Linked DNA regions of Oryzias latipes. The protein of the gene in region 1 purifies or fractionates together with the protein of each later gene. This does not show direct contact. Links are inferred from orthologs where the notes say so. Each region holds a gene or a part of one and is shown on either strand. Other genes may lie near its edges. The genes, in order: tdp1 and xrcc1.

Evidence for each region.
Region 2: the proteins of tdp1 (region 1) and xrcc1 purify together in Homo sapiens (affinity purification with mass spectrometry; 4 studies listed by BioGRID and IntAct, with this or other methods). This does not show direct contact. The link is inferred for Oryzias latipes from reciprocal best matches to the Homo sapiens genes TDP1 and XRCC1.

Annotation. Positions count from the first base shown.
Region 1 is NC_019861.2:31,357,515-31,361,796, reverse strand, and holds the start of tdp1 (tyrosyl-DNA phosphodiesterase 1), read right to left. Parts: upstream 2,872-4,282; 5' UTR 2,858-2,871; coding exon 2,779-2,857; intron 2,204-2,778; coding exon 1,610-2,203; intron 1,506-1,609; coding exon 1,462-1,505; intron 1,322-1,461; coding exon 1,266-1,321; intron 1,107-1,265; coding exon 1,010-1,106; intron 42-1,009; coding exon 7-41; intron 1-6. Other genes in the region: synaptotagmin-5-like, read left to right, coding at 3,660-3,681. UniProt on the Homo sapiens protein: DNA repair enzyme that can remove a variety of covalent adducts from DNA through hydrolysis of a 3'-phosphodiester bond, giving rise to DNA with a free 3' phosphate.
Region 2 is NC_019874.2:25,075,612-25,079,920, reverse strand, and holds the start of xrcc1 (DNA repair protein XRCC1), read right to left. Parts: upstream 3,052-4,309; 5' UTR 2,906-3,051; intron 2,692-2,905; 5' UTR 2,605-2,691; coding exon 2,554-2,604; intron 2,460-2,553; coding exon 2,367-2,459; intron 2,168-2,366; coding exon 2,060-2,167; intron 1,974-2,059; coding exon 1,815-1,973; intron 1,160-1,814; coding exon 1,085-1,159; intron 334-1,084; coding exon 210-333; intron 1-209. UniProt on the Homo sapiens protein: Scaffold protein involved in DNA single-strand break repair by mediating the assembly of DNA break repair protein complexes. Negatively regulates ADP-ribosyltransferase activity of PARP1 during base-excision repair in order to prevent excessive PARP1 activity.

The DNA.
Region 1 (4,282 bases):
ACTTACGTGTGGTGAGTTCCAAAAGCGATGTCCAGTTTGGCCTGTCGACAAAGAATTTAATGGAACAAACATTATCTGCTGCAGTCATTTAGGAAATACAGATTCCATTTGATTAGCTCTTAAAACCACATTTTAATCAGTCAACGTAGGTATAACCGGATCAAAACATGCAAACTTATAAAAAGAATATAAATATTTATATAATTTTAAGGGTTTTTATAGCTGCAGCTGAAAACATTATACATTTAAATTTTAAGAGCGTCAAATGTGAATTCCACTTCCTGTTTAGAAACAGCAACTCAAATCATAATAATTGAATCTTAAACAGAAGAGGAATAAAATCAGCGGTTCTGCTGTAGGAACAGTTTTCCTCAAACTATTACTGAATTGAACAAGTACTGAAACTGGTCTGTTGGGGAATGAAACTAACCATTTGGGCTGTGTCCAAACTGGAGGTCTGCATTCGTCCTGCATTTGTCGGCGTCGTCACGGCGGCGCGACAAGTGCTATCCAAATTCAACGACTCCTTCAAATGCGGCCAACAAATACGGCCTTCTTTTTTAACGATTTCTAGGATCGGTCTGGTGTATCCTTTTATGCTGTGCATATCCCAAGAGGTATTGCGGCTGAACCTGGAGATTTTCTGACAACAATGGCGGACTTTGAAGAGGGAGCCGGAGTTGGAAACCTTTTCATAATTACACCTCCAAGATTAAAAGTTGAATCAAATAAGCCAGGAAAAATTTTGACCTCCACGCCTGGTTCACTACTCCTCCCTGTTTGTGACTAACGGTTGCTAGGCGACAGGACACTTGCTGATGTAACGGCTGGAATTATCCAGAGGCTAGACTCGTCCAAATTTACAGCCGTTAACATCCGGCCCACCCGCTCGACGAAGGACCCGGCCAACATCGCCCGGGAAGGCCGCGGCCATTGGAGGATGCAGCCCTCGAAGTTGGAGACAGCCCTTGGGTTAAAGAACAGCTTTGTGCGTCAATGCTTCCCGTACCTGACAGAAGCGAACATGAGGAAAGGCTTGAGCCTGCTGGAGAAGCCGTGCTTTCGCCTCCCTCTTATCTCCATGTACGATCAGAACCGGACGATCTCTGAAAACACAAACTGAGCTTTAAACCAAACAACAGTTACCCGTGTGTTTTATTGGATTACTTACACTCAAGTAAAACCTGCTTTTGTTTGACATGAAGCTGAAGTGCTGTGAAACAGCAGAGCAACTGGAGTCATGAAAATGTGGATGTGAGACTTACCGAAACTCCGGTGGGTATTGCTGAACCATCCATGGAATGTCAAAGCAGTAGTTAAACTATAAAAAAACAAAGAAAGGATCACTTGAAACAGAAGATACTTCAGTTTCTTAGTGTCTTTCCCTAAAGGCCAGTTGATCGAAAACAATTCAGTCAGTGGAAGTGAGCGGAAATTTGTGATATAAATCTAGTGACATACCTGAACCGACTCTTTCAGGGTTCCAAATAAGGGGGAGAGAATGTCTGCACACAAAAAAATTCCCGTAAAATTCCCATAAATAGCTCGTCAGTAATGGAATGTGTATTACTAATGATGAGGAGTTAATCCTAGACAAATGCAAACTCACCCCTGATGTGCAGCGCCCCCGTGTTGTACTTTTTGTCCAAGCCTGTGACTTTGTTGAGGTAGAACCTGTAAGTGTCATTAAGACAGGGAATGTTGGATTCAAAGAAGTCCTCCGGCTCGTCGATATAGTAGAGTCGTCCATGGGGGCTCGGTGGACGCTCTTCTTTCACTTTTGGTTTCTTTGTTTTGGGGCTGGGAGGTGCTTTCTTTGGCAAATGACTCTGACTGTTGTCCTTCACATCTTTGTCATCGTCATCACTGTCCGACAGGGCCCAGCCTGTGCCCTCTGAGGCATCGCTCTTCCTCTTTCCCGCCAGCGAGGGGCTTCGCTCACACTTCACCGGATTTAACTGGTTCTTTGCAGCCGACCGTCTTGCTTCAGAACCCAGTGTGAGTGGAGCTGCTGCAGAAAGTGGTTCTACTTTTACCTCCACAGGAGCTGACACCTGGACTGGAGAGGGGGACCTGACACCGGATTCCGCTGGCAGACGGGACTGGGTTGTTGTAGTTCCAGAGAGAGGAAGATCTTCCTCCTCATCATCATCATCACTACTGGAGATGGTCCACTTGCCATGTTGACTGTCCTGAGACATCTCTAAGAAAAGAGAGCAGAAAGAGGAAGAAGGGAAGCTATTGGCAAATGATTTAGTTTTTTTAGGCTTCATATTACAACAAAAAGTACAGAAAATATGCATCCGTTTTACTTAAGACCACATAGATAGATATTGATTAATAATCAATATCTATCAATATCTAATATTGATTAATTGCAATAAACAGACTGGATGTGTTTACACACATTTTGTTTATCTGAATACTGGTCACTTCAGTGTTTATCAGATTTCTTCCAAAGTGTATTTAGAAACATAGGACTATAACATCTCATAGTTAAAACAAACTTATGCTTTCAAACACAGTTACAGATCTTTTAATCCACATTCTCACGCGCATGAGAACAAAAGAAAACCCAATACATCATGCAGGAAGAAATCGGATTTATTAAGGACAAATCTTATGTGAGTGGTGAATCACGATTTTATATTATTCTGCTAACATTGTCACTTTTTTAGTTAGATAACTCCAGAAACTAGATGATGATCAGATTTTTGATGCATGCAAACGGGCTAAAACGTTAACCGACTGTCTGATAAATGTACAAACATCCCAAACCTGCACAAGAGATCAACTGAATATCATGAAAACAAAGCGAAGATAATAAAAATAACGCTACAAAATTAAGCGCAATCATTGTTAGCGTTAAATAGATTAATAAAAAAAAACGAATAATGTTGTATGTTGAACTAAAGAAGCGTTTTGAAATGCGTGTCGTGTTTGCTTTACCCAATTCAGTTAAAGAGCAGCGGGACTATTTAATGCAGCGAATAGATATCACAACTTTTCTGCAGCACATCCACTACAAACAACAGCGTGACTGAGTTGCACCCACAAACCCCTTCGTCTAGAAACACTCGCGAATTACGAAGTTCCGCCCCCCGTAGTTTCTGATCGTAAAAATAAATAAATTATGAAAAATAAAATAAACACTAATAAGTAGTTAAATAAATGAGTGCCCTACAAGAAATATTTACTTTTTATTCAGATATCCACATGAAAAATTCCCCAAGAGTGAACTTTTGAATTTGAAAGCAACACTGAGAGACTGTCTGATTAAAGAATTTTATGATTATCAGTAATATGTTTATTTTAGTTTTTTTTTTTTACTCTCAGGGACGTAATTTGATCTTTGAATTGTCATTTTTAAACTATTTCCTTTAAAACAGGACGTGATTTATGAGTAAAATTACTGTACTAATAGTCTATTTGGGCATTTAAATAAATGCAATTGATACGATTGAAAAAGTGAGGCACTGTTTGTTTTCATTGAGTCAATAATGCAGAGAGCGCCTGTAGCCGAAGGGGCTGGGCTTGAGACTTGCCTCCAACGCATGCTCAGAATCTTCCCATTTAAGACCGTGACATGCCTCTGCTGTCTAGTCTTCAGGGCTCTGATGGACCCTGTTCACTGATCAGAACTGCTCCAAACTGGGAAGATGTCACAGGACTCTCCGGAAGGTAGGGGGACATTTCAATATGGTTATTTAGTTTCATATCATTGTAATCTGCAGTTCTGTTTTTTTTTTTAAATATGGTAATATATTGTAAAGGAAACAAACCTAACAAAAGCAAAAGTTTACATGCAAAATGAATGGGAGGAACAGAGAAGCTGAGGTAAATTTACAACCATTTATCTGTCAAAAGCCCAGCTCTCCATGTTTAAGTGACTGGCTGTGAAAAGGTTTGTACATCCATCTGAAACCAGTCAATGCATTACTCCTCTACTAAAGCTGGTCAGGTGTAAACACAACCTCAGCTCCATGCAGCTGCTGTTCTCCATCATCAGTGATACAGCTGTTCTTCTCTTGATGGAGGCTGAGTGCTGCTGCAGCTGAACCCCGATGCTCTGAAATGGCTCTGGAAGTACACACTTGCTTCAATATGAGCTCACTCTTATTGATTCTTGTGAATTATAGCACGCACTGTTGCTTTTATGCTCTGAATTTATTTATTTCATTATTTACTTCTGCCCTTATGTCTGACCTTTGGGAAGATAGAATGCAATAAAACTAACATTTGATTTATCAAATGATTCTCTGTGTCAGCTTTAGGACTCAGC
Region 2 (4,309 bases), on another chromosome or scaffold:
AAAAACGGAATCCATGCGGTTTTTTCCTGCTTACAAGTTCACCGGTCATGTCCGATCTGTGCCACATGAGAGGAAAAAAAATCGGAATTGGGTCACCTCAACCATGCAGTGTAAATGCGGCCCACATTAATTAAGTTACAGAGCTTCTTGTTGGCTGATTTTTTCAAGTAGATCTGAAAAGGATTCTGCCATTTAGTTCATTTCAATACCTTTAGGTGAAGTGCTCGACTTGTTTGCATTTTCTCGGTTAAAGAAGAGACTTCCGGGTTGCAGACTGGACCCAGATGAAGGCGACTCATCCTTTATTCTGAACTGTCCCAGCTTTGTCACTTTCTGAGCGGGAAACACAACGAAGGAAACAGAAGAAATAGGATGGTGGGACTCACAATTTGTGACAAAAAGTTCCAAAGTTGTTTGACAACACTCCCATGTTGGTTTTTCTGGATTCCCTCCAGATTTGTAATTAAAAAACCAAACACATTGCATCTACCACCTTGTGCAGTGGTTCCTCACTATATTGCAGTTCACCTGATGTTTTAATGCAGTTTGTATCCTTTTTTATTTGTTTTTTTAACAGCACATTGTCTTCTGCATCCTAATTGGCTGTATTCCCAAATCAACCTCTTCCATACTGTCTATCCTACACAGAAAGCATTCAGTTTGCCACATTTACATACATCCTCTATCACTAGCATATCTATGTTTTTATTCTCTAACAATGGATTAATGCTTTAATCAATGTTTGAATTTTAAGAGTTTAAACAAGAGAGAAAAGTGTGTTAAGTGTGCAGTTAAGGGGTTACATCTAAAATAGTTTTAAAAAAAAAGACTAACAAATGACACTAATCCAATAACATCACATTGCGTTTATTGAAATCAGAATAGTTTCAGTTTTTGCAAGATTTACATACATTTATAAAACTTAGATGTGATGAAGTGCATGAGTGCTGAGGTGCACCCACTAACACTTGAGATCTTACCATTTTCTTTATGAGAGCGTGTGTTAATAAGGCTAATTTAGTGTTTCCTAACTTTTAAATGGAAAATAAAATAGAAAAAAAAAAGTTAACAGTGGTTTACTTACAGGGGAGGAACTTGGAGGCTCATTTTTGTCAGGTGGAGAGTGGAACTTAACAAAGGCGATTCCATACGCTATGTTCTGTAAGGCACAAAAAAAAAGCTTTCATTTCGGTTAACGGTTAGTCATGAAGCTTCAACACCAAACATGAAGACTTTACTGTTTCCACAAACTGTATTTTGTTTGACAGCCCGGTAAGTTGCGTATATTTTCTTTAAGTTATAGATGTTTATCCCAACACTTTTGCTATTTTTGTTCTTAGTTACGTACACAAGAACTTTGAGTCAATTTAGAAGGAAATATCAACATTAGCTTTTTCTTCCCACTGCTTGTCAAGCAAATAATTAACCTCTTTGAGACAAACCTCACATTTAATGGATTTAATGTGTCATGTACTGTAAGACTGGCAGGTTCATTTCAGTTGGCTGAAGGTGAACCACAGCATGAACCATGTGTGCTGTGTGCACTAAACATATGATAACTTTACTCCCCCAAAGCACTTCAATAAATCCAATTGATCAAAATGACACTTTTATTAACGACAAGGAACAAAACAGATGATATGGAAATGTACCTCGAGCCGCAATTAATCATCCAAAGTTTGCTAAATCTATGTATAGATAGATATTGGTTTTTCTTTTTTTTTCGTGTATTTTTGGTTTAGATTGTTTGAAATAAGCCAAATCCGATTCTAAAAATGGAGATATTTGTTTATATAAATGGTCAAAATCCTCACCTTGTTGTATGGCTGGCTGCAAACAATTTTGACTCTGTCCCATTTCTCCTGAGCTGTGCTCTTCTGCAGCTGGTTGGGTCCAAAGAAACGCACGCGGTTCAGGTTAGATCCGTTACGACTTTCCGTTGGAGACATGAAGGAAGATGTGACGAGAAGAACCTGAAAGAGTTTTTGAAATTAGGGCACATCCTGTTAAGTAACAAAGAGTAAAGATGGGGGGGGGGGGGTATTTTTTGAAGAAATACCTCGTAGTCCTGAGTTTTAGGGGCTGAAGAGTTTGCCACCAGCACCTCAACAAAAGCGGATCCTTCATTTCCAATATCGATACTGTGCACCTGCTCCTCTTTCTCAAACTGAGAAAAGGAATAAGAGAAGGAATAAAATAAGTCAATTTTTTAAAAACATCCAACTTATGCCTGTATTTCAATCATTTTATCTATGGAATGAAGTGGAAAATCATTCAAATCAGCCAGTTTTGTTTTTTGTTTTAACAAACTAAGCTCACATCCGTAACTGAAATGCATTAACTTGAGTGTGAAAGCTAAATCAAACCTGCAGAATGACTGATGTCTGCTTCTCCCCGGCTCTCGCTGCTTTCCACTTTCTGTAGGTGTCTGAGCTCAGCAGGTTGTCCGCTTTGTGAGTCTGTTATATCACAACGAAGAGTGGGTTTAATAAAGCCATGAAGCCACAACTAACTGCTACACTAAAAAAAAAAAAAACACAGCAAACAACTTACATTGTCCTCGGAAGTGCAGGATACGACGTGTTTGAGTTTGATTTCTGGCATTTTGGTATTCCTGCTACTAGTGTTTTTAATCCAATAATCTATCTGTCACTAAGTGTGCCAACCGGGCGCTGTTGTGACTGTTTTAACCTGGCGAGAAAACACAAACGTTCAGCTTTTCGGAGTGACACTAAATAATGCATAGAAAAGTGTTAATTACTGATGTTTGACAGGAGCAACAAACTAACTAGCGAGAAAAAGCTAGCAGACTGAGAAAACTGAACTTTTTCGTGAACAGCCTGATCGTTTTAACAAACTGAAAGGCAAACGTGAATTAATATGTAGCTTCATGATTGACACGTACCCGTTAACTTGACGTTATATTAAACATCACAAAGACCACGGTAGGAATGGTTATTTTAAGGTAAACGTGTCTTATTGTTGCTCATTTTCCCACCAAAAGAGAGCAAATGTCTTCATCCAACGCAACTTCCGGGGGTAGATTACCATCCAATAGGCGCCTTTGTTTTCTTCTTTTACGATAAACTAATGGAACAATAGCGTTGTGTCGCCACCAAGTGGACGGAGGGAGCATAGGTTAAATGACAAATAGCTGAACTTTTACTAATAGTAATTTCAGTAATAATTTTAATAATGATGGGTCATATGAATAATAATATTGATAATGAAATAATAAAACAATAATAATATCAACAATGATGATGATAATAGTAATAATAATAATAATTTCAATATCTTTGGCATCCTTGTGGCAAGACCATTCTTCCACTTTCTCATATTTACACATATAAAGATATTACTATTTTACAGTAGTAAAAAAATATATTTTTATATTAAGAAGCAAAGTTATTTTTAAGTTAGAATATTCTAGCTCTGTTCACATAATCTTTCTACACAAGTAATGAGAAGGTTTGTTACCCAAACATGCATTATAAAGCTTCTTTTTTATTATTTTTTTCCCAAACTGCTTTTTTCCAAACTGTCTTCAGGTAATTTAGATTACCTGACTAAATGAGTTCTGATTTATGCATAATTTTAATCATGTTAACTCCAATTTGTAATTTAATTCATAATGCCTGTCATTGACTTTATTTATATATCTGACACCCCAGCAAAACAAAACCAACAGCAATATTAATCAATAAATATGTTGTTTTTAAGTAGCAAATACATCTATGTGCAGTTTCAATTTATGTTGATTTGTCGTTATGATAAGACAATAGTCTTTTATCGGTTATTTACTTCTTTTTTGGTTCGTGTTTTTTCTTTACATCAAGTTTTTCTTAATGTATGAAAAATCCTATCAGAGAAAAATAAAATCTGCCTTCTTTCCAACTTTCACACTTTTTACAATAATTTTCCATAATAGAAAGTCTTAAAACTTAGAGAATATTATAAAATAAAAACTAAACAACTGCTGCCCTGCGTCAGACTGGTGACGTCCAGGGTATAGTCCGCCTACCTCGCCCATGAGTGACTGGTGACCCCGAAAGGGACAAAAACGAGTTTAGAAGATAAATGAATGAAAAATGAATAAATAACCACTTATGTCTACAACCAAACTACATGAAAATCTGCAATTTAAAAAAACACACAAGTATTTATGTGTAAATAGAGAAGTAAATGAATGACAAAGACATAATTAATACACATTGTAAAGGTTCAGTGCCAGCCAGAAATATTTATCATATTTGTAGATATGTGTGTTTGTTGAGATTATATCACACAACACTTTTGCAATGGGTTT